Rattus norvegicus: one gene and its partners. The protein of the gene in region 1 interacts with the protein of each later gene in a pairwise test. Links are inferred from orthologs where the notes say so. Each region holds a gene or a part of one and is shown in the gene's direction. Other genes may lie near its edges. The genes, in order: Setdb1, Mbd1, Mrpl44, Tk1, Tsc22d1 and Cdk4.

Evidence for each region.
Region 2: the proteins of Setdb1 (region 1) and Mbd1 interact in binary tests that used the Homo sapiens proteins (3 or more experiments, as listed by UniProt). The link is inferred for Rattus norvegicus from reciprocal best matches to the Homo sapiens genes SETDB1 and MBD1.
Region 3: the proteins of Setdb1 (region 1) and Mrpl44 interact in a two-hybrid assay, tested with the Homo sapiens proteins (2 studies listed by BioGRID and IntAct). The link is inferred for Rattus norvegicus from reciprocal best matches to the Homo sapiens genes SETDB1 and MRPL44.
Region 4: the proteins of Setdb1 (region 1) and Tk1 interact in a two-hybrid assay, tested with the Homo sapiens proteins (2 studies listed by BioGRID and IntAct). The link is inferred for Rattus norvegicus from reciprocal best matches to the Homo sapiens genes SETDB1 and TK1.
Region 5: the proteins of Setdb1 (region 1) and Tsc22d1 interact in a two-hybrid assay, tested with the Homo sapiens proteins (2 studies listed by BioGRID and IntAct). The link is inferred for Rattus norvegicus from reciprocal best matches to the Homo sapiens genes SETDB1 and TSC22D1.
Region 6: the proteins of Setdb1 (region 1) and Cdk4 interact in a two-hybrid assay, tested with the Homo sapiens proteins (2 studies listed by BioGRID and IntAct). The link is inferred for Rattus norvegicus from reciprocal best matches to the Homo sapiens genes SETDB1 and CDK4.

The regions. Positions count from the first base shown.
Region 1 is NC_086020.1:185,601,983-185,605,482, reverse strand, and holds part of Setdb1 (histone-lysine N-methyltransferase SETDB1), read left to right. Parts: intron 1-1,324; coding exon 1,325-1,515; intron 1,516-1,706; coding exon 1,707-1,836; intron 1,837-2,852; coding exon 2,853-3,003; intron 3,004-3,108; coding exon 3,109-3,267; intron 3,268-3,500. UniProt on the Homo sapiens protein: Histone methyltransferase that specifically trimethylates 'Lys-9' of histone H3. H3 'Lys-9' trimethylation represents a specific tag for epigenetic transcriptional repression by recruiting HP1 (CBX1, CBX3 and/or CBX5) proteins to methylated histones.
Region 2 is NC_086036.1:70,143,803-70,148,051, forward strand, and holds the start of Mbd1 (methyl-CpG-binding domain protein 1), read left to right. Parts: upstream 1-1,449; 5' UTR 1,450-1,582; intron 1,583-2,660; 5' UTR 2,661-2,675; coding exon 2,676-2,785; intron 2,786-4,249. UniProt on the Homo sapiens protein: Transcriptional repressor that binds CpG islands in promoters where the DNA is methylated at position 5 of cytosine within CpG dinucleotides. Binding is abolished by the presence of 7-mG that is produced by DNA damage by methylmethanesulfonate (MMS).
Region 3 is NC_086027.1:88,553,840-88,557,849, forward strand, and holds the start of Mrpl44 (39S ribosomal protein L44, mitochondrial), read left to right. Parts: upstream 1-1,210; 5' UTR 1,211-1,228; coding exon 1,229-1,407; intron 1,408-2,898; coding exon 2,899-3,367; intron 3,368-4,010. UniProt on the Homo sapiens protein: Component of the 39S subunit of mitochondrial ribosome. May have a function in the assembly/stability of nascent mitochondrial polypeptides exiting the ribosome.
Region 4 is NC_086028.1:103,534,778-103,538,277, reverse strand, and holds part of Tk1 (thymidine kinase, cytosolic), read left to right. Parts: intron 1-2,578; coding exon 2,579-2,668; intron 2,669-2,943; coding exon 2,944-3,063; intron 3,064-3,141; coding exon 3,142-3,327; 3' UTR 3,328-3,500. UniProt on the Homo sapiens protein: Cell-cycle-regulated enzyme of importance in nucleotide metabolism. Catalyzes the first enzymatic step in the salvage pathway converting thymidine into thymidine monophosphate.
Region 5 is NC_086033.1:58,162,778-58,166,277, forward strand, and holds part of Tsc22d1 (TSC22 domain family protein 1), read left to right. Parts: coding exon 1-183; intron 184-3,500. UniProt on the Homo sapiens protein: Transcriptional repressor. Acts on the C-type natriuretic peptide (CNP) promoter. Acts to promote CASP3-mediated apoptosis.
Region 6 is NC_086025.1:64,770,157-64,774,252, forward strand, and holds the start of Cdk4 (cyclin-dependent kinase 4), read left to right. Parts: upstream 1-1,296; 5' UTR 1,297-1,437; intron 1,438-1,892; 5' UTR 1,893-1,908; coding exon 1,909-2,126; intron 2,127-2,257; coding exon 2,258-2,393; intron 2,394-2,505; coding exon 2,506-2,673; intron 2,674-2,822; coding exon 2,823-2,932; intron 2,933-3,638; coding exon 3,639-3,689; intron 3,690-3,777; coding exon 3,778-3,913; intron 3,914-4,096.

The DNA.
Region 1 (3,500 bases):
ACTTATTTATTATATATGAGCAAACTATAGCTATCTTCAGACACACCAGAAGGGGACATCAGATCCCATTACAGATGGTTATGAACCACCATGTGGTTGCTGGGAATTGAACTCAGGACTTCTGGAAGACCAGTCAGTGCTCTTAACCTCTGAGCTATCTCTCTAGCCCTTCCACCCTGTTCTTGAATGTCTAGTCTTCTTCCTCTGTCTATGTGCTGAGAATATTGGTACATGACACCATTCGTGTGTGTGTGTGTGTGTGTGTGTGTGTGTGTGTGTGTGTGTGTGTGTGTGTGTGTGTATGTGTATGTGTAAAAGCTAGAAGTTAATGTTGGGTGTCTTCTTACCTTATATTTCTCCTAATGTCTTTAGACAGGGTCTTGCACTGAAGCTCTGACCAGTCGGCTTGGCTAGGCTGGCTTGCTCACTGGTGGGTGGGCCATCATTCTTTTTGAATCCACCTTCCCCCTACAATGCTAAAGTTGCAAATGTGTGCCATGGCACCCAGCCTATGTCAGGGCGAGGTGTCTGAGTTAGGCTGGAGGATGTTTCAGCAGTTAAAAGCACTCGATGCTCTTGCAGAAGACCCAAGCTCAGTTCCCAGCCCTTGTATTTAGCAGTTCATAACTTTCAGTAACTCCACTTCCAGGGTACCCAATGTACTCTTCTCACTTCTTTTGGAGGGCTGCACATACATGATATACAGAAGTATGCAGGCAAAGTACCTAAAATTTAAAAAAAAATCTTTGAAAGAAATAAAAGTTTGGGGGGGATGAAAAAAGAAACAATAGGCTGTGTTGTCGCTCAGTGGTGGACAGCTCTTACTTTGCTTGTGGATCACCAGCATTGATAAGAAAAAGGAGTAAGCCAGGCAGTGGTGGTGCACACCTCTGATCCCAGCATTGGGTAGACAATGGCGGGGGATCTCCGGAGGCTAGCTTGGTCTCCAAAGCAAGTTCCAGGACAGCCAAGGCTGCACAGGAAAACTGTCTCAAAAAAAAAAAAACAAAAAGAAGGAAAGATGAAGAAACAAAGAAGAGGGAAGGACTGATTGTTTCATATTAGTTTACTATATCTAGGGGTTATTAAGATTCTGCATAAAGTGAAGTGTCTGTTTCTTTCACAGGAATTGCTTCGGTTTGCATGTGGCTTAGTTTAGTATTTAACTTGTATATGCATTTGCACATTAGCCTCTGTACGTAAGATAGTCTTGGTTTTCTTCTCTTGAGGGATTTTTTTCTGTTGATTTTTGGAAGTGCCAGCTGTTCTTTCCTTTAAAGATATGTCCTTCCTATACTTAGCTCTGCTTCTTTCCTTTGGACAGTGAAAAAGACTTGGGAGGACATAGAAGACAGCTCCTGCCGAGACTTCATAGAAGAATATATCACTGCCTATCCAAACCGCCCAATGGTACTTCTCAAGAGTGGCCAGCTTATTAAGACTGAGTGGGAAGGCACATGGTGGAAGTCTCGAGTTGAAGAGGTTGATGGCAGCCTAGTCAGGATCCTCTTTCTGGTAATGTTCTTCCAAAGAACAATTTGTGGTAGTCTTAGGGAGCCAGGTGCCAGGGAAATGGTAAATTGAGTAAAGACACTTGCTGTCGAGCCTGATGATAAGAGGTGACACATGGTATATATTCTCCACAAGAGACAGGATTGAGTCTAACCATGAACTGCTTTTCTCCCTCCCTTTGCCCTGCCTCCCAGGATGACAAAAGATGTGAGTGGATCTATCGAGGCTCTACACGCCTGGAACCTATGTTCAGTATGAAGACATCCTCAGCCTCTGCAATGGAGAAGAAGCAAGGGGGGCAACTCAGAACCCGTCCTAATATGGGTATGCCGTAAAAGACACCCGGGGAGGGAAAAGACAGGGCAGACTAGCACAGAAAGTTAATGTATGGCAGCTGCCCTTTTGTTTACCACAGCAACACCACCAACTCACTGGATAAAGACGTGTTTAAAATATTTCCATTAGTGTTGGTGGCTTTGTGGACCTGCCTCCACATTGCTATGATTTTTATTTATTCTAAATATCCACATATAGCCAGACATGTTGGTGCACACATGTAATCAGTTCCAGCACTTGGAAGACAGAAGTGGGAACATCTGCAATTTAAGACCGTCCTTGGCTACTCAGTGAGTTTGAGGCCAGTCATGATTACATGTGACCATGCCCCAAAAAAACAAGTCTTTCCAAAACCAGTGTTTACTAGTATACCCTCTTACTGGTATAAATAGTAAGAACAAAAGAGGTTAACACTTAGAAAAATGTGTCATTTACCACTTTTGTATGAGAATACAAGCATACTCATATCAAAGTGCTTGTGTAATCAGAGGACCATCCAGCTTTAGAATTAATCTTCCTTGTTTGATCCAAGTTGTGTTGTTCATTGCTACATGTGTAAGGCTAACTGCCCTGCATGGGGGATTCTCTGTTCTCCACCCCCTACTTCCCTGCAGCAGCACTGGGATTACAGACACATGCTGCCATGCCTGGCTTTACATAGGTTTGAATTCACGTCCTTGTGTTTGTGTCACTGAGCCATCTTTATATTCTATTTGCTGCATTCTTCTTGTTCTCATTTGTGTTGGGTTTTCTTTTTGTTGTTTTTCTGAGACAGGGTTTCTCTGTAGCTCTGGCTAACCTGGAACTCACTCTGTAGTCTAGGCTGGCCTTGAACTCACAGAAGTCTATCTACTTCTACATTCCTGGGACTACTGGTGTGCACCACCTCTGCCTGGCCATTTCCTACGTGAATATATTACATTAGTTGATAGGGTTTGTGCATAAGAGTATCTGGCACAGCTGTCATCCTCTCAACAGTCAGTTTTTGTTGGTTTTTCCTGTAGGTGCTGTGAGGAGCAAAGGTCCTGTTGTTCAGTACACTCAGGATCTAACGAGTACTGGAATCCAGTTTAAGCCCATGGAGCCCCTGCAGCCTATAGTCCCACCTGCCCCGCTTCCCATGCTTCCTCTTTCCCCCCAGGCAGGCGACAGTGAGTAAGTGCTCGTCAATCTTTTTACTTCCAGGTATTCTGTTTGTTTGTTTTTTACCACACATACCTTCGGAATCCTTACTATATGGTCTCTTCTCAATCCCCTTAGAAGCTTAGAAAGCCAGCTTGCTCAATCACGGAAGCAAGTAGCCAAAAAGAGCACATCATTCCGACCAGGATCTGTGAGTTCTGGCCATTCCTCCCCTACTTCGCCCACACTCAGTGAAAATGTACCCCCTGGGAAAATTGGAATGAACCAGACATACAGGTAAGAATACCTCAGACACTGGGCAGTTGGATGGACTCCAAGAGCCTTTAAAGTCATGTCAGTGAGAAACATGGTCTTGAAAATGCAGCTTCTGAGAAGCTGGTAATAAGAATAGTTAATTAGAAATTTCATGTCTAAGAAACACACTATCACCAGAAAGTCATTTGCCAAAACTTCTTGAACATTGTAACATCATTGCTTCAGCAGAAAGACCATCAGGTCTTCTCCTTGAC
Region 2 (4,249 bases), on another chromosome or scaffold:
AGTCAAATGATAACATTGCCCTTTCTGGGCCCCTGATTGTTTATCAATAGTAAACAAAAGTTGTGTGTGTGTGTGTGTGTGTGTGTGTGTGTGTGTTACACACAATGGGGCTGAAGGTAGAAAACACCTTTTGACTGCCAGAGTTGTCAGTAGAAACAAGAGGGTGGGCTCCGCTATTCTCATTCTTCTCCTTACAAGGACAGGAATGGCTGGATCAACAGACTTAGGAGCTTTATGTTAGCCCTAAGGAACCAAAACTTGTGACTTCTGAGTTCCTACGGGCAAAATAGTACCATTTAGCCCAACATGAATATGAATCAGTGATTTGATCCACATGATTCAGAACCAGTGGAGAATGTAGTGTGGCCCAAATCAAGACACTTTCCTCAGGTGTGCTTTACTTTACCTCAGGGCTTCAGTCTATCAGCAGAACCTGGAAACAACTCCAGGGAATCCTCAAAGTCTCTTTATCCATGTCCCCAAAATGTGTAATTACTGTGCAGTGATTAACTGCTAGCTCTGACTTCTTTAAACATGCTTATGGTTGTATGCAAGGTGGAAGAAAAGCATTTTCTCACATAGCTACAAATTCCTCATAAATGAACCAATTGTGGTTTTGCCTTTAAAACTCCCCCTTCCCTTTTAGCCTGGGTTTCAGTCTCTTATCTAGATCTGGTGGGTGCAGTTAGCTGGCCAGCTTAATAAAATTCAGCTAATTGGATTTCATCGAGTGATCTTTCCCAGTCGTCTGGAACTCTCCAACTCTGTAACACACATAACACAGCAGTGCCGAGGAGCAGGTGTGTGAAGCACGCAAAACGGAGTCGTCTTAAAGCAAAATAAATTACCTTGGTCAGTTCACCATTCTCTCCTATTGGGCCTCTGAGGAATGGCAATCTCTCCCTTGGCGCCCTCATTATATTTGCTTGCATACCACGCCTCCTCCTTGTTTCCCAAGAAGGGACCCTGGCCAGGGTGCTGTGATCCTATTCACGAAGTGGGTACCAGTCCTGAAGAAGGTAATCACAGGAACAAAGGAGCTGTGTCTCCGGGAAAAGGAAGTGGACAGGCTTAACTTCGTTGCTGGTGGTTTTTGTGGAGACGTAAATTAAGAGTGGGCCGAGCCAGCGAGGCAATTCACGCCCCCTTGTGTCTGGAGCCACTTTGGAGACCAGCAGCAGGGAAGATTGCATTGACTGGGCACCATCCTCGGTGCGCAGGCGCACAGTCAAGAGAGACCCGGCGGGCTGCGGGTGTTGTCAGTGCGCAGGCGCTGCAGGTTCCCGACAAACCGCGCGCCCCTGAAACCGCAATACGCAGGCGCGGAGCCTCCCCATTGAGGGCACGCGTGACAAGGCTGCACACACAGGTGCTGGTCCTAGTCGGAGCCCCAAAGGCAAGCATTGGGTTTCCGGTTCCGGGACTAACCAACCGCCGCAGAGGCGACAACTACTGTTTTGGAAGAGGCTGCGGTGGAAGAGGAGGAAGAAGAAGAGTAGAACCGGCGGGTCGCGCAAGCGGGATCCTTCCCATGGGTCCACCGGCCTAGAGCCGAGGAAGCTGCGAGCCTGGTGTCAAGCTGGTGAGATAGCGGTGGGAGTGGCGAGAGCTCAGGAGGAGTCTGTGGAGGCGCCGAACGCTAGCGGGGAGACGCGAAGGGCCCTCACGTCAGGGGAAGGAATGGCTACTTCCGGATATTGAAAGAGAGGACTGGGGGGACTGGATAAGAAGACAGAAAAGGAAAAGATGTGGCTCAGGACATTGACAGTGATGTTGAGATTATAGGACCAGGATGGCCAGGAGAAGAAGAGAGAGAACGTTCAGAGAGTCATTGGGCCTTCGTGTTAACAGGATAGAAATGGGGTCCCAAAGCTGATAATGCAAGGATAGGGCCTCGAGACAGTAGAAATAGTAGGGTTAGAATAATGAGGGACGGACTGGAGACTCGTGGCGAACAAAAAGGAAGTAGAATGTCTGATGGTTGGGAGGCTATGGCGTTGTCCTGGAACACAGGCTAAGAAATAAGAGAGGCAGGTCACTGTGGAGGAACAAGGAAGTTTCACAAGATGATAAGAGAAATGGAGAATGATACGTACAGTTAAGAGAAAGAGTAGCTAACACTGGCCATAGGGGTGAGCAATAGAGTCATTTGAGACTGAGACTGGAGAGGAGTTATGGATCGGAATAAGTGAGGGAAAAATAAACTTTGGGGAGAGCTCTTGAACGTAAGGGGAACAGAACACATGAGAGGCTTCCAGCCTGAGAAATGGCAAGAATGTTTGATCCAGTGTATGGAGGAATCCAGGACTCAGACACAGAGATGCAGCTAGAGCACTGCAAGACATTGGAAATTCAGGTGAAGGAAAGTTTAAATGTGTGGTTAGAACACTGGTGTAGTATCCTGAGAAGGAAAGAATTGGGGGCCTCTTACCCAGAGTAGGAGGAACAAGTCTTCTCAGACTGAGGAGGGGTAATATGCATGTTTGGAGGAGAACAAAAAGGAGGGATGGGACTGTTAAGTCAAAGACTGGGAGTATTTCCTGCACCAAGGACATACTTGTGCTAATCTGGGGTTAAGTATTAAAGGAAACGTATGGCTTTTGTGGCCTGGAAATAATTGGCCACTTTTCCCCATACTTTACCTTCTTCCAATCTTGCAGGCTTCTGAAGCATCTATGGCTGAGGCCTGGCAGGACTGCCCAGCCCTGGGCCCTGGCTGGAAACGCCGAGAGGCCTTTCGAAAGTCAGGGGCCTCGTGTGGACGCTCAGACATCTATTATCGGAGGTAACGGGTGGGCTGTGGACAGCGTTCAGTGGAGTTGGACATCGTTAGTAATTAAAGGGGGTGGTGTGTTTAAATCTATGGATGTGGTTAAAGTTGTGCACATAGTCCTTGTTAAAAGTTTTGTGTTTTCTTAATCACCTATTCTTAATAAAGTTTATTTGATCAAAGTCGATACTCACAGTACATTTGTGATTATTCACAGACACACATGGGATAGCTAAAGAATTTGAATTGCCTAGTGCATGTATTTGGAATCAAAGTTGAATAAGAACTCTTATATATTCTCTCTCTCTCTCATTCTTTCTGGTTCTATAAACTGGTCCACCGTCTATTTAGAGCCATATTTTTGTTGTTGGCAAATTTGTTGTTTAAAATGATTCCCAAATCAATTGCTGAAGTATTTTCTAGTGCTCCGAGAGCAAGGATACTGCCTTTTCTCCTTGCCAGATAGGCTTCTTACACGCATGAATTGCAATGCTATCCGGTTGAGTTACAGCGTTCAAAATCAGAAATGGTCCATCCGGAAAGAGAAGAGGAAGCATGTTCAGATGTGTGTGAGGCTGTTCTGGAAAGAGCAGATACTGTTGTAGGGTATTTAATCACACTGTGAACCCTGGGATTAGTTGTATTTACTGGGGGGGGGGGGGAAACCTGGGGTTAGCTGTGGTGTGGCTGAACCTTAGGTCAAGAGGCAGAACAAGCAGCCAGTTGACAGGAAGTGAGCATAAGATTATTAAAGAATTATGGAGAGTAAGAGGTAGTCAGAAGGGTGGACAGAGGGATCCACAGTAGAAGGGAGGACATTCAGTTTGAGGAAGGGATTTTGCATGAGTAGGGACTGCTTGGGCTGTCAGCTGAGGAGGAAGGTCTGCTGGGTGCTCTCTCTGCCTCTCTGAGCTGTCATGCTCTCACCCCAGCATCTGGCTCCCAAGTCTTCTGTGGTAAAATCGAATGCCTGAGATTTTGTTTAAACACCACAAAATTAGGAACAACAGTAAACAGCAAAATTTGTGAAACGGTGAACCAATGGGCAGTAAAGCCTGGTGACCTGCATTGTTCTAAGGAAAGCCAAAGACTTGTCAGTGGGCACTAGAGAAACATAAACATCGGGGGTTGGGGATTTAGCTCAGTGGTAGAGCGCTTGCCTAGGAAGCGCAAGGCCCTGGGTTCGGTCCCCAGCTCCGAAAAAAAGAACCAAAAAAAAAAAAAAAAAAAAAAAAAAAAACCAGAGAAACATAAACATCTCAGCTGATGCTGGCTGGCTTGCATGTTTCAGAAGGTGATATGATGTAAAAACATGGTACTTATAGTACAGGTTCTGTACGGCAGGTATCTTTAGAAAAACAAAATATCAGCAGGCAAACCTAGATAAAACATCCTCTAAAGCCAGTGGCTCTTACTCTTTAACAGTCCTGGAGTCATTCGTAAGAAACAAATGTTACAGTGTTTTTAAGCAAAGACACA
Region 3 (4,010 bases), on another chromosome or scaffold:
CAAGTTAAATAAAGAAAGCTATTAATTAAAGCAAATCTTTAAAATTTGTGTACATTGGCTGCCTCTCAGTGAAGGTGCGGTTCAAGAGATCAGCATTAGATCTAGGGAAGATAAGAGGTTTTTTTTGTAGTCCAGAGTAGGGGGTTTCCAGATGTGGGATTTGGCAGGCAAATAGGCAGAGTTACAGACACAAAACACAAGCACAAGAAGTTGGTTGTAATAACCTCCTGAAACAAAGATGTGGTTGCAAAGTGGTCATAACAACATGTGGTCACGATAACCTTTTGAAACAAATGCATGGTTGCTATTCCTGGAACAGGCAGTACAGAACCATCTGTAGCTAAGGTGACTGGTGGGGTATAGCCTAGTCTTTGAGAAACAGAGATTTAATCATAAACAGGTACAAATGTAGTTTGTCTTTATTGTAAGATGGCTTTCAAGTCAAAGATGAGACAGGCTGGTTCATCAGTTACATCAACCAGCTTCAGATTAATTCTACCAATAAATGTTATGTTGCAGAAATGAAAATTCCCTGTGGTTTCTTGGAATCCATTTATCTGATGGTCCACGAATTTTCAATGCTTTTAATATCATTTTGATTTGTTTTAGAAAATTTGCTTCAACCAGATATCTGTTAGAAGCTCGTTTATAGCCATTCAGATTCTCCATTTTGAAAAAGCTCAAACGAGGGTGCACAATCCTAGCATAAACACCCTAACTGGGCAGTAACATGTCTTGGTCAGTATTTCAAAGCAGGTGAAAATACATTTCCTGGGCAGGAAGACAGATACTAGTCTTGTTTGGAAACCAATTACAATAACCAAAGAGAGGAAGGAAATAAATTAAAAAATAATTTAGTAACCAGAACAAGCTGTGAAAGTAGGCACACCTAAAGACCCTGGAGTCTAAACTGGGTGACCGCAGGGACATTGTTGCCTTTTTTATTAAAACGAAAACGAAACTAGTTTTTGTTTTTGCTTTAATGAGAAATAAACACAAGAGAGACTGACAGGGTCAAGCAACTGTCTCCCAATAATTTCTGCACCCATATTTATAGAATGGGCAGAAAGAAGCACTTGCGCATGCGCACTATGCTAGTCACGCACTTTCTTGGGTGTCCTGCAGCACTGAGGCCTCTTTCTGTTGCTGCACCAGTTTCCGGGCAACCGCGTTCCCACTACACCGGTCCGGCTGTCTTCCTTCCGCTCTCCATTGCCCTGTTCTTGCCATGGCTTCTGCTGTATTCCGGCTGCTGCAGCAGGGCCCTCGCCGCCTCTTGGCTCCGGCCGCCCCTACGTTGGTTCCTCCAGTTCGGGGAGTGAAGAAGGGATTCCGTGCCGCCTTCCGCTTCCAGAAGGAGCTGGAGCGATGGCGCCTGCTACGCAGCCCGCCACCGCCGGTGCGACGGTAGGCGTCTCGGGAGGGTCGAATGGTTGAGGACACTGGGCTGCAGCTGCCTGCCTGCAACTGCGGTGGGGACGTGTCCGCCACCGGCCTGGGGCAGAGGAACTGGGCGACAGAGGCCGGGCTGCCCCCTGCAGAATCTCACTAGCCGAAAATAAGTGGGATCCGACAGAGGGTAACTGCTTGTAATTGGAATTGGCCCAATTTTGTCCCTTCCTAATCTCAGGCCAATTGGGTACCTTTAAGAGAAATAGGATCGTTCATTCTACAGCGTTGCGTACCAGGGCAGAAAAATTTAGTTCTATGTAAACTGAATTTCGTGTCCACTGCCTGGAGTAAGAGGGTAAAAGTTTAGGTTTTTGATCTAATTAATCTTGTTGCCTGAGGGCTGGGGGAGGACGAATGAAAACAACCAACAAAAAACTCCACACGTTTTTATTAAGTGCATCATGCTCATATATGATCCTGCATCTTGCATATTCTGTTTACTCTGTCTTTGTGGACAAAAGTACACGAAGGTCGACTTCATTCTTACAGTTGCACTGGCATTTGACTTTCGTTAGATTGTTAGTACACATGTGAAGCAGAAACTGTCTCTAGCTAGTTATTCCTGAGCTGAAATTTTGATTGCCTTAATATTGCCCTCCAGGAGAGTATTGACCTCTGTTCACACTAACACCAGTGAGAACACACCTTCTATTACAAAGAATTGTGGCTTAATAAGCAAAACTCAGAATCATGTCTTAATTTTCATTCCCTTGCCCAGTAGACAGGTGGGTATTTTAAGATTCATGAATTAAAATTGGGAAAAACTGTAGAAAACAAATTTAGATTTTCAACTTAGATCTCTCTACGTTTCTTCTCTCTCTTTAAAGAGTTTTGTTTTGGCTATATTTTTCTCTAGGAAAAGATGTTTTAATTCTTGTCTGTGTGTGACTGTGTAGTGTACCTGCACACACCAGGCCTTTGTGTCTGCTAGATAGGCACTCTACCGCTGAATTACAACAGCCTCAACTCTCACCCATGGTTATGAACTTTTAAAACACTTAGAATACTGATACTAGCTTATGTAACTGGAAATTCAAGTGGACATTTCTGAGATTTAAATAAATAGGATATAAGCTAAATAGAATTACTTTTAGTTTGTGGCCTGAATCTATATAGTTATAATTTGTTCATACTCAGGTGGAAAGCATTATTTCACAGTTAGAGCAGAAGGAAGGAACTTAAAAGCTAGAAGAGCAGCCTAATCTGATGTGAACAGTCTCTTTAATATGGCAATGAAGCCAAAATGAAAAAATTAATCCACATTTATGGAGACTGATAAAGGACTGTCAGCGTTCACCTGTATTCTTTTTTTGTATCTAAACTGTCAAAACCCGACAATAAAAGAAAAATAAAATGATTGCGTTCCTCTGTGTAATAGTTACAGCACAGTTGTACGTGGTACCATGCCCTTCTCCTTACCATCTCTTACTGTTTCTACCTCCTCAGCTCAGAGAAGCCAAACTGGGATTACCATGCGGAGATACAAGCCTTTGGGTCCCGGTTACAAGAGGCCTTTTCGTTGGACCTTCTCAAAACAGCATTTGTCAATAGCTGCTACATCAAAAGTGAAGAGGCGAAACGTCAGAACCTCGGCATAGAGAAAGAAGCCGCTCTTCTGAATCTTAAGGACAATCAAGAACTGTTTGAGCAAGGGCTGTCTTTTTCACATCGGTGCCTCACACAGTTTCTTGAAGACGAGTTTCCAAACTTGCCCACCGAAGGCATTGAGAGTCTAGTTAACTTTCTTACTGGTGAGGCAGTTGTCTGTCACGTGGCCAGTAACTTGGCTGTGGAGCAGTTGACGCTCAGTGCGGAGTTTCCTGTCCCCCAGCCTGTGTTACGTCGGACTTTCTTTGCAGTAATTGGAGCCCTGCTCCAGAGCAGTGGTCCTGAGAGGGCTGCACTGTTCATCAGGGTGGGTAATGGTTAATAGCACTTGTCCAGACCTGCTCGATGTAGACAGAGGGGGAAGTGTCTTTTTCTCATGCATTCCTTTGCTAGATGTTGGTAGAACAGAATGTTCCTACCTCCCAAAACTTACAAAGACTCAAAACTATTTCTTTTAAAGATTTATTTATTTTATGTATATGAATACACTGAACTGTCTTCAGGCACACCAGAAGAGGGCATCAGATCTCATTACAAATGGTTGTGAGCCACCATGTGGTTGCTGGGAATTGAACTCAGGACCTGTGGAAGAGCAGTCAGTTTTCTTAATTGCTGAGCCATCTCTCCAGCCCAGCCCAAACTTTTTATGGTAACTTTGTGGTTGTTATTTCAGTTTTCTTTTGCCAATACCCTGGAAAGCAAATAATACATGCTGGGTTGTGAGTTCTGCAGATTTAAGTTATTTTTAGCTTTTTTAAGTTTTTTGTTTTGTTTTGGTTTATTTATTTATTTATTTATTTTTTGGTTCTTTTTTTCGGAGCTGGGGACCGAACCCAGGGCCTTGCGCTTCCTAGGTAAGCGCTCTACCACTGAGCTAAATCCCCAGCCCCGTTTTGGTTTATTTTTTAAGGAGAAAATGTTTGTGTATAGTCCGACATGGAGGAAAGGCG
Region 4 (3,500 bases), on another chromosome or scaffold:
TGCTTACTCTGTGCTCTCCTGGTATTCCCAGAGGCCCAGCCGCACTCCCTAGGCACTACCTTCTTTTCTTTTCTTTCTTTCTTTCTTTCTTTCTTTTTTTTTTTTTAAAGATTTGTTTATTTATTCACTATAGCTGTCTTCATGCACACCAGAAGAGGGCATCAGATCCCGTTACAGATGGTTGTAAGCCACCACGTGGTTGCTGGGAATTGAACTCAGGACCTCTGGAAGGGCAGTCAGTGCTTTTAGCCGCTGAGCCATCTCTCCAGCCCACTACCTTCTTTTCTTAGCTCTTCCTGCTTGATAGACTCATACCCAGGTCTGGCACCAGCCTACCAGTCGCCCCAACCCTCTTCCCCATCCTAACCTATAGGAGAGATTTATTTCTATGCGCCCCACCCCCACCCCACCTTATGATTAAGGAAAACGAGTTCATTTAGTGGCTACTTGGAGTTTTGGGGTGGGGTCTTGCTTTGTGGTCCAGGCTAGATTAGAACTCGGGCCCCTGAGTGCTGGTATTGTGTAGTCATGGGCCCTCGCACAGGCTACAGTGAGTATTCAGTGTGCACTGTATAAACAACACAATTCTTGTGTGCTTCCGCCCCAGACTCTAGACCCTGTTCCTTACTAAGTTCAGGATCTCCTCGTGGTAACACAAGGAGATTGCCCTTCCTTCCTGTGTCCTCAGACAGTGGGTAGAGGGTCCTGTAGGGTCCCTGGAGCCAGAGCTGAGGACATAGAGCTTCCCGTGTGTTCATTCACCAGAAGCAGGGCCCACAGCTTCTGGGCAAGATTAGAAGCTTGCATCGTTAAGAACTTTGTTTCCCTTCTTTTTGACGCAGTAATGACAGGCTCAATGTAGGGCACAGCAGGAGCACACCAGACAAAGGAGGCTTGCCACTTAAGTGTCTTTGAACCAGAAACTACCAGGAATGCCCTGCGAGCCAATATTGTGGGTTCTAAAGCCTGCCACGGGGCAAACACTAGTCGTGGAACAGTGGCCCTCCGGGAGGGGACCGAGCTCCTTTTGGCGGAAGGGTGGTGCTTGTTTGATTGCTTCTGGCATAGACTGCACCTGCTTTGTCAGTGGTCACGTGAGACTGAGGAAGGGTCTTTATTCATGCGGCCAGGGTGCCTGCCTTGCCTGGTGTTGACCCAAGAGATTATGTTCAGCCAGTGCCAGGACTCTGATGAATGCCAGTCCAGCCTGGACGCTTCTAATTATACACGTGTGTTTTTATAGAGCAAGCCATGTCACATGCTGTGACTATTGTGGGAATGGCTGAGTCCAGGGACCAATCGCATCCATTCCAAGTTTCTGCCCTTTGGCTGCGGCATTCTAGGTCTGGAGATAAATCTGGAGCTTCCACCTCACCTCCGTTGAAAGACTAAAACTGGGAGGGACCGTGGAAGAAGAGAAAGGTTAGAACGTTAAGGTGTAGGGCAGAGATATGTTCAAGAAAAGGTCCAAGAACCAGGCAGGCAGGAGATTGCTTTGCAACCCAGGCCAGCCTGGGTTGCACAGCAGTAACCAATCAAAAGTGAGAGACAGAAGGGATGGGGAGACAGTTCTGTCAGTGAGGGAGGCCCTGGCTCTGCAGGCATGAGTGCCTGAGTTTGGGTCCCTAGCACCCGTGTACAACACTGGGTATAGCCACATGTCCATAATCCCAGTGTGAGGAAGGCAGAGACAGGCAGGCCCCTGGAGCTCCCTGACTAGGCAGCCCAGCCCAGTAGCTGTGCTCCAGATTCAGGAAGAGACCCAGCTCAAACGAAATGGAAGCGCCAGGCTCATAGCATAGGCCTTTAATCTTAGAACTTCAGGGGCAGAGGCAAGTAGATCTCCTGAGTTCAAGGCTAACCTGGTCTACACCCGTGCTGTGAAGGGGGAGGCTGGCCTGAGAGACAGTGGAAGGCGGAGGGCAGCTATCCCTGCCAACCTACTTACGTACGCCTTGTACATCTCATTACCAAGAGTCCCCCTCCTCCTTCCCTCCCTTCCTCCCTCCAGCTGTCCATGGGGGCTAAAAGTGCATGTGTGCATGTGAGGGTGGGTGCCTGCAGATGCCAAAAGAGGACATTAGCTGTCCTTGCATCTGGAGTTACAGATGGTTTGTAAGCTATCTGTTGTGGGTGCTGGGAATTGAATTCTAGTTATCTATAAGAACAAGCCATGCTTGTAACCCCTGAACCATCTCTCCAGCCCTGGTTTATTTTAACTTCCTAATCCTTCTACCTTTAAAGTAGTGGTATTGTGTTGGACACCTTGTCTGGCTCATTTGATGTGGGGGTAGGGGATGGGGGTGGAGCCAAGGGCTTCATGCACACTGTTTAAGCTGTTCAACCCCAGGGGGGTCTCGACCCACTAGTTGAGAACTGCTGTTCCAGCCTCTCTGGTATGTAGAGGCCTCTGTGGGCCAGCCCTGGGTAGCAGTGGGCATGCAGGTGGGATGTTTCACAGGAGTGGCAGTGCGGTCTGATCTCCGGCTCTGGGCTTACCTGTGTGCTCGGATCCCTCACCGTCTTCATGAGGCCCTTGCTCAGGACGGCTCACTTCATCCTCTCTGAACTTTCCTAGTTCCCTGACATTGTGGATTTCTGTGAAACGATGGCCAATACAGGCAAGACAGTGATTGTGGCGGCGCTGGACGGAACCTTCCAGAGGAAGGTAAAGATGTCTGACCCATGGCAGCGGTCTTGAGAGGGGAGACAGCATGCAAGGTCTCCCCATGCAGCTCTCTAGTGAAGCAGGACCAGTAAAGTATGATGTTGCTGAATCATGGGGTTTAAAAGAGAAGCGTTGGGCTGGGGGCAGCCCAGGCTGTAACACACTTGCCTTGCACACAGGCTTGCGTCAGTTCCGCAGAACTCCCTCCACACGCATACACGTGAACACAGGCAGGGAGGGAAGTGCCTGGCTAACACTTTTGCTGTCCTGTGTAGGCTTTCGGCAGCATCTTGAACCTGGTGCCCTTGGCCGAGAGTGTGGTGAAGCTCACCGCTGTGTGCATGGAGTGCTTTCGAGAAGCTTCCTACACCAAGAGGCTGGGCCTGGAGAAAGAGGTATCTCCTTGTGCTTCTGCCCACGGAGTGGGGTGGGCTTAGGCTTCTGAGTCCTCCCTCATACGCCTCTCCTACCAGGTGGAGGTGATTGGCGGAGCGGACAAGTACCACTCTGTTTGCCGCCTGTGCTACTTTAAGAAGTCTTCAGCCCAGACTGCAGACAACAAAGAGAACTACTCAGTGCTGGGGCAGCCTATAGAGATCCCGGCTGTCAGGAAGCTCTTTGCCCCTCAGCAAATCCTACAGTGTAACTCTGCCAACTGAGGGGACCCGGGGCCTGCCAGCTCCTTCCCCAGGTTGGACTCCCAGAGAGCAGGGAAAGGGGCGGGGCCTGCCATTCCTACTGGACATTGCACCTTGGCTTATCTGCTTGTTGAAACCTTTCTTAGTTCCCTTCTTATAATGGTTGTGAGCCCCCAACCCAACGCTTCTCTCTT
Region 5 (3,500 bases), on another chromosome or scaffold:
GGAAGACACCAGGCGTCCAGCGGAGCCCTCCTCAGGCGGCTTACCTCAGACTCTCAGTGGTGACAGTGGGGGAGTGTCAGCAGTCTCAGATGGGAGTAGCAGCAGCCTAGCAGCCTCTGCTTCTCTCTTCCCGTTGAAGGTGCTACCGCTGACAACACCCCTGGTGGATGGCGAGGACGAGAGGTAAGATCATGTGCTTCTGCAGGCATCGGGCAGTTCAAAGTTGATCTCTTTAGCAGCAGTACGTGTGGGTGCACTTAGTCCATATGTATATATATGCCTTTCCATTTGCATGTGAGAAGTGCATATTCATGGTAAGTTTTCCAGGGTAAGAATCTTACAGAATGGTTTCAGAGTGGTTGGGAGGCAGACTAGGTTATGAACATAATGTTCACGATAGTTATAAAAGTGTAAGTGTATATTACAAATAGACGGGGCTACCAGGTAGATTTTATTATTTATAAAGTGCTTTTGAGAAGATTATGCAAAGCAGCTTAGATTTGGTTATCCCACGAAATAGTTAAAGCTATTCTTTTGAGCTACTAAAATCTTAATGATCATTTCTTGTTAGGCGCTGTGGCTCCCACATTTCTTGTTTCCTAGGAAGTTTGATCTCAGGCTTTGAAAGATACTGTTACCTGCTTGTCCTCCTAAGGCACTGTGGGAAAGATGACCTAATCTGGGTGATGTAGGTTGTCCTCATACTGTTAGCAACCGGCTTTTGTAAACTCTGTCCGGACAGAGGAGGAATAGAAGTCTTAACGCGTGTTTTTCGAGGACAAAATGCCTACTTTATCCTTAGTAGTAAGTAATGGCTGTACTTTTTTTCCTTTTGAGAGTAGATAAAAGTGGTAGCCATTTTAAAGCATGCACTCAGTCTTAAAGGGCTGATTTTATACAGGCTAATCTGTCCCACCTGTTTCTTCTCTTGCCAAAAGACAGAGTCTAAAAGTCAGTATTAGGCCAGCATTTTTTTTTAAAATCATATTGGAAATAATATGCTAATCACTTAATGCATCAGATTGCCAGAGAAGCTGTGAACTCTATGTCTACATTGCTTTAAGATTTTTTTAAAGGAAAGTTTTTTGTAATTTTGCCAGTGTATATAGTGAACAGAAGTATAGTAGTTGTAAAAAGACTTCTTCACTGAAGTTTTGAAAAACATTTAAGAGAGTTATTTTAGTATCTGTTGGAGATTTTTGACATTAAGTTTTCAACCATTCCAATTGAAGCATTTATAGTCTATTTGTATATTCGTGGGTTTACTTTGGAAAAACTGAAACTGTTGCAAAAGAATTTTATAAAGAGAAAAAATGGCCATGTGTTTTAGTGACGTTTTCATCATTTTCCCCCAAGTTGTTTAAAAGATAATGATACTTGAAATCAGGGGAAAATACTTTTTTAGTGTTTTTTTCTAGTAGTCATATACTTAAATTTTGTTACTAACTAAATGTAGTCCTTACCCCCATACAGAAGTACTTCACAAGAGAGACTTGTAAGATGTAGTTTCTGTAGTAGTCCAATTATAATTATTGTTCAACCTTTAATTTTATCTTTATCATTCTGAACCTCACCTGTAATTTAGTTTAAGAAATTATTTACTCTTTTTGGTTTCCTAAATCTAAATCAGTTCAAGCGAAGCTCCTGTTTAACCGTGTAATACAGAAGCTGACCTAGGATGTCAAAGACAGGTGACAGAGAGCGATGGAAGCCGCACACTGCTTACAAACCGTGGAGGTTTTCTTAATTACTGTTTGTGGGCTCCTAAGAGGGCTTCCATTGTTTTCCTCCTGTTGGCAGGGAGATGGCAGGCCTTGGGAAGACCTCCTGTCCACAGTTAAGGCAGGATACTGTGCACTAGCTTTTATCTGTAGGGTGAATCCCAGTGTGAGAGTGCAGAGCCCTTTCCCAGTAGACACATAGTGACTGAGATGAAGGTGGGTCAGGAGTCAGTGGGGTGGAGTTATGTTCCAGGGCAGCAGCATGGGGGCATGTGAGGTAGTTGTGTGCAGTAACTAACAGAAGCAGTCCTCAGACTGTCTTTGAACTTCATTACAAACCTGTGTCAGTTCACATCAAAGTTGAGTCATCAAGACTGGACACATTGTTTGCCAGGCCTCCTTCAAGTTCTCTTAAGATCTTAGTCCCCCAGCCAAGGAGCATGCAGGACCGACCATCCAGGTCTATTTTTAATTGTGTTTTATTGCAGATTGTTTTTAATCTCACTGTAGTTTGATTTAAAAAAAAAATCACTTAAATTTGCCCTTGGGAGATAATTGGGAAATACCTAGGAGAGGCAAAAGTGAAGCAGCCTTAGAGCCACTCACTGCCTTTGCTCCACGCAGTCTGTGTCACCTGCATCCTGCAGGCTTTGTCACCATTGATCTCCTTTGGAAGAAAGGGCTGTGCCCTCATTTCACTTTATGACCCAGGAAGTAATGCTAACATGAAACTGTTTGGTGGCAGGAGAGAGAGATCACCCTTGCGTATATACTGCGATATAGTCTACTCTTTAGAGTTAGATGCTCAGACATGGGGAAAGTGCCTTCGGGTTGTCCTCTTAGCCACTGTGTTACTCAGAGGAGACTAAACATTGCAGACGATGGAAGATCATGCGACATTTTTTTTAAAGGCCATTTTATTATAAAGGTCTTGATGTCTTCGCCTTTAACGTGACTTAACGTTTGCAGGAACTGGAAGACACAGTTATTTTGCTCTAATGTTCTGTACTTGTTAGCACAGTGCTATGTGAAATTCTTGTTTATAAGCAAAGCTCAGATGTTCCCTCTGAAAGATTGTTCTTCCCCAGGGGGTGTCTCCTCAGCACATTTTACTGTCCTATTTAAGTACTGTATATTTGGTGATAATGATGTTTACCAGTCTTTCCCACAAGGGCAGGAACAAAAAAAAATTTTTTTCTTTTTTTTTTTTTTTCAACAAACTTAGCAGATCTTTTTCTGTTTTTCCGATGAAGGCACAGCTCACTTTGTCATCTTAACCACACCATTAGAAATGCAGGTGCTATAATTTATGTAATAAATTGAATGAGCAATGTGACTTTGCTATCTTCTTGCTCCTTAAGGTGACATGGTGTCAGCCTTGTAAATAGTGTCTGTTTCATAGCCCTCAAGTATTATACAGGAACAAGTGGGTTTTCTTTTTCATGTTTGTTTGTTTGTTTGTTTATTTTTGGTTGCATGCCTGTATGTGATCATGAAGTCAGAGGTCAGTGTCAATTGTCTCCCTCAACTGTGTCCAATTTATTTTTTGAGATTAAATTGGAGCTCACTGTGCTGGCTGGGCTGGTTTACCAGTGAGCCTCAGGGATACCCTTGTCTGTACTTCCTCAGTGCTGACATTAGAAGCCTGTGCCTCTGAGGCAGGCTTTTCTATGGATTCTGGGGTCCAAACTCAGGTTCACATGCTGTGTAGCAAGCACCTCCCATCTTGTAAGGTAAAAGAGTGAGCCGTCTCCCTAGCCTGGAAATCAGGGTTTTCTT
Region 6 (4,096 bases), on another chromosome or scaffold:
GTGTCTCAAATATGATTTGAGAGTTTAAAGTTCAGGAATATAGCTCAGTGACTGAACCAATTCTTACTACATATAAAAACACTGACTCCAATCCTCGGCACCAAAAATAGGTCTAGATTTTAGCAATTCTTCACAGTTGGGAACATGGTCTTTTATCCTCATGCTCCTAATTGATGGGAGACAATAAAGGAGTTGGAGCCAACCAAATCGTCACACAGATCTACCTCTATCTGACTAGATTTCTGTAGGCAGACCATTTAGGAAACGCTGATCAGGGCAAGGGTACGTTCTAAGCAGGACTGGGGAAAAAAAGGAATGTGACCCCTATGAGGAGTCACAGGTTTGCAGAGGGACACAAGTCATATTCCAGCAATGTGGTGGTGACTGCCCTTGGATGTGCTCACCCTGTTGTCTGTTCATGCAATCACATATATATATAGCAATCTTAGTGTAAAGACACTTGTAAGATCAAGAACCCTTATTTCCAATAACTTCTTGCTGCTTTTAATATTCCTGGGGAGGTTTACAAGTTGGGAAGAAGGAGGGCATTACATTGTCGCCCCCCATACAGCGGCTTACTATGTTAATCTTCTTCTATCCATCTTTTAGTTTCCTCCTCGGATAGAAATTGTCTACTCCCTGTTTTTATAAGACCACGGTTGCCTTATTAGCTATCTTTATCATCACTTCAAAGGGCGGAGTGACTGAGACACCAAAACAAAAACATCGCATACCAACTGGAAGGAAGCACTTAGTAAAATTTTGTTGAATGAATGAGTAAAATGAAGACACAAATACGAATGTTTCCCCATGGCGGTGGAGTGGAAATGTTACAGCACCATCTCTGGCACCAGGATCTCCCACTAGCACCTCGACCTCCCGCCCACATAGAGACGCGTAGTGAGACTGAAGATGCTCTCAGGCTCGGCCTTGAGCTGAGCGTTGAGAGCTGGTTGGCCCGGTTGCCATGGCACCGCCTTGTGCCCCACCCTCTCTCGCCCCCACACACCCCCTCCGCAGTCAGGGTTTGGCAGCCGGTCACGTGCCACACAGCGTAACCACACCTCCGCTTCTCAGCGCAAAGTAAAGGGGTCACGTGGGATAGCAACAGGTCACGTGGCAGTACAGGTCCCGCCCTCTTCCCCCACCACACCCCTCCCATCAAAGGGGCCCCGGTCGCCGAGTGCGCATGGGTGGAGGTCACGTGTCCAGAACGTCCGCCGTCGGCCCCGCCTCCCGGGTTTCCGCGCGCCTCTCTGGCAGCTGGTCACATGGTGAGGGTGGGGGTGAGGGGGCCTCTCTAGCTCGCGGCCTGTGTCTATGGTCTGGCCCGAAGCGTCCAGCTGCCCGGGACCGATCCCCGGTGTATGGCGCCGCAGGAAACGGCTCCCGGGCCCAGATAAAGGGCCACCTCCGCAGCTCTTGGCCGAGCGTAAGGTGAGTGCAACCCTTTCCAGAAGCGGGGGGCCAGTCCCCACGAGCACTAGCACCCTCCAGCTCCCCACGCGTGCGCGTCGCTGGCTGAGTATGGAAGGTGGCCCAATGGCGGGAAGTGGGGCCTTTGTGGTCGTGGGCGAGGGTGTGATTTCAGAGAGTGAAGCGCAGACTGTTCCATGCAAGCCCTGTGCACTGTGATCTTCTTTGTGCCGGGCGCAATGGTCCTCCGAAAGAAAAGAAAGCATTCTTTTCTTCCTCCAGGACAAAACGTGGCTGGAAGAGGGTTTGTTGGAAGTCTTTGTGTTACCTAAGGAGCGCGGGCCCTGGATGTGTGGAGGGTGGGATGCTGGTGATAATGTTGGTGAGGTCTTGTGCAGGAGTTTCTTTGTTACTGCCGGGTCATCTCCTCCTAACTGTGAGAGAGAGCTTGGTATTAGAAGCCTCTGTGATTGTAGATCCCCTGCTCCGAGAATGGCTACCACTCGATATGAACCCGTGGCTGAAATTGGTGTCGGTGCCTATGGGACGGTGTACAAAGCCCGAGATCCCCACAGTGGCCACTTTGTGGCTCTCAAGAGTGTGAGAGTTCCTAATGGAGGAGCAGCTGGAGGGGGCCTTCCCGTCAGCACAGTTCGTGAGGTGGCCTTGTTAAGAAGGCTGGAGGCCTTTGAACATCCCAATGTTGTACGGTGAGAAGGTTGGATTGGGAGTGGGGCGGAGAGGACAATAGGACCCGTTAGTCAGGAGTGGGACCCTAGAACGCCAGAGGCCATGTTGAAACAAAGGGGATGGCCAGCTCCTGACCATTTGTTCTTCTCAGGCTGATGGATGTCTGTGCTACTTCCCGAACTGATCGGGACATCAAGGTCACCTTAGTGTTTGAGCATATAGACCAGGACCTACGGACATACCTGGACAAAGCACCTCCGCCGGGCTTGCCTGTTGAGACCATTAAGGTGAGTGGAGGGGTGGGTGGAGGTGGATTGATATGTGCAGTAGAACTTGTTGGGATTTTGGACACAGTGATACATAGTTTCCACAGTTCTCTGCTTCTTTCTTCAAAACCAGGATCTGATGCGCCAGTTTCTAAGCGGCCTAGATTTCCTTCATGCAAACTGCATTGTTCACCGGGACCTGAAGCCAGAGAACATTCTAGTGACAAGTAATGGGACAGTTAAGCTGGCCGACTTTGGCCTAGCCAGAATCTACAGCTACCAGATGGCCCTCACGCCTGTGGTCAGTAAGACAGTAGCCGGAATAGGTTGGGATTCGGGGTAGGGCTTGGTGGTTTCCCAAAGCGACTAAGGAGTCTTGTACTTGAAGTTTTCAGAGCCAAACAGTTGTTTACGAGGACAACACTCACTTATTTCTCCTATTCTCTTTAGGTTGTTACGCTCTGGTACCGGGCTCCTGAAGTTCTTCTGCAGTCTACATATGCAACGCCTGTGGATATGTGGAGTGTTGGCTGTATCTTCGCAGAGATGTTTCGCCGGAAGTATGGGACTAGAAACATTTGTTTTGTTTGCCATGGGACAGGGTTTTTCTGTGTAGCGCTGGCTACACAGAAACGAGATCAGGCAGGCCTTGAACTCTTGCCTCTGCCTCCAGAGTGCAGGAATTAAAGGCATGTACCACCACTGCCTGGCTGGGACTTGAAACTCTTAAGCCACCTTCAGTTCCACAGATCTTTTGCTGCTCTCTCACGGTGCTAGAGGTTGGAATCAGGACTCACGTACACTCAGCCATGCCTCTATTTCTTTTTCTTTTTCTTTTTCTTTTCTTTTTTTTTTTTTTTTTTTTTTTCAGAGCTGGGGACTGAACCCAGGGCCTTGCGCTTGCTAGGCAAGCGCTCTACCACTGAGCTAAATCCCCAACCCCTCAGCCATGCCTCTGTACCACTAAACTAAACACTCTGCCCCAGGTCTTTTACAGACTTATCTGTTCTTGACCATTCTTGTGCATGTACAGTGCAGGATACCCAACCTGGGGTTTCCATAGGCATGGTCCCCTGCCATCCAGCCATAGTCCCAGCCTACCCAGTTCATACCAATCACCTTGCCTAGAAAAGAAACCACATGGGCAAATCTGAAATGCCCTGGATTTAGTAACTTCCTGTTCCTTAGCTCCACACTCTAGTTTGGTCCACTTAACGGTTACTCCGGTTTTTAAAAGAATGTACTTTGACTATCTTTCTACCTTAGGCCTCTCTTCTGTGGGAACTCTGAGGCTGACCAGCTGGGCAAAATCTTTGAGTAAGTATCCACTAAGGAAAAGGAAAGGAACATTCCATAGCAACTGGCTGGGAAGGGGCCCCTCCTGACAGTTGTCCTGTCCCTACAGTCTCATTGGATTGCCTCCAGAAGACGACTGGCCTCGAGAGGTCTCTCTTCCTCGAGGAGCCTTTTCCCCCAGAGGACCTCGGCCAGTGCAGTCAGTGGTGCCGGAGATGGAGGAATCTGGAGCGCAGTTGCTGCTGGTACTGGGCCTGAGCAGGGATTGGGTTAAGACAAGACACGGCATGGCCTGGGAAGCTGGCTCAGTGGGTAGAGCTCCTTTGCATAAGTACTGAGGACCTGAGTTCAAATCCCCAGAATCCACGTAGAAGTCAGGTGCTTCTGTAGTGCCATTCTTGTGGCGAGATGGACAGATCCCCTGGTAA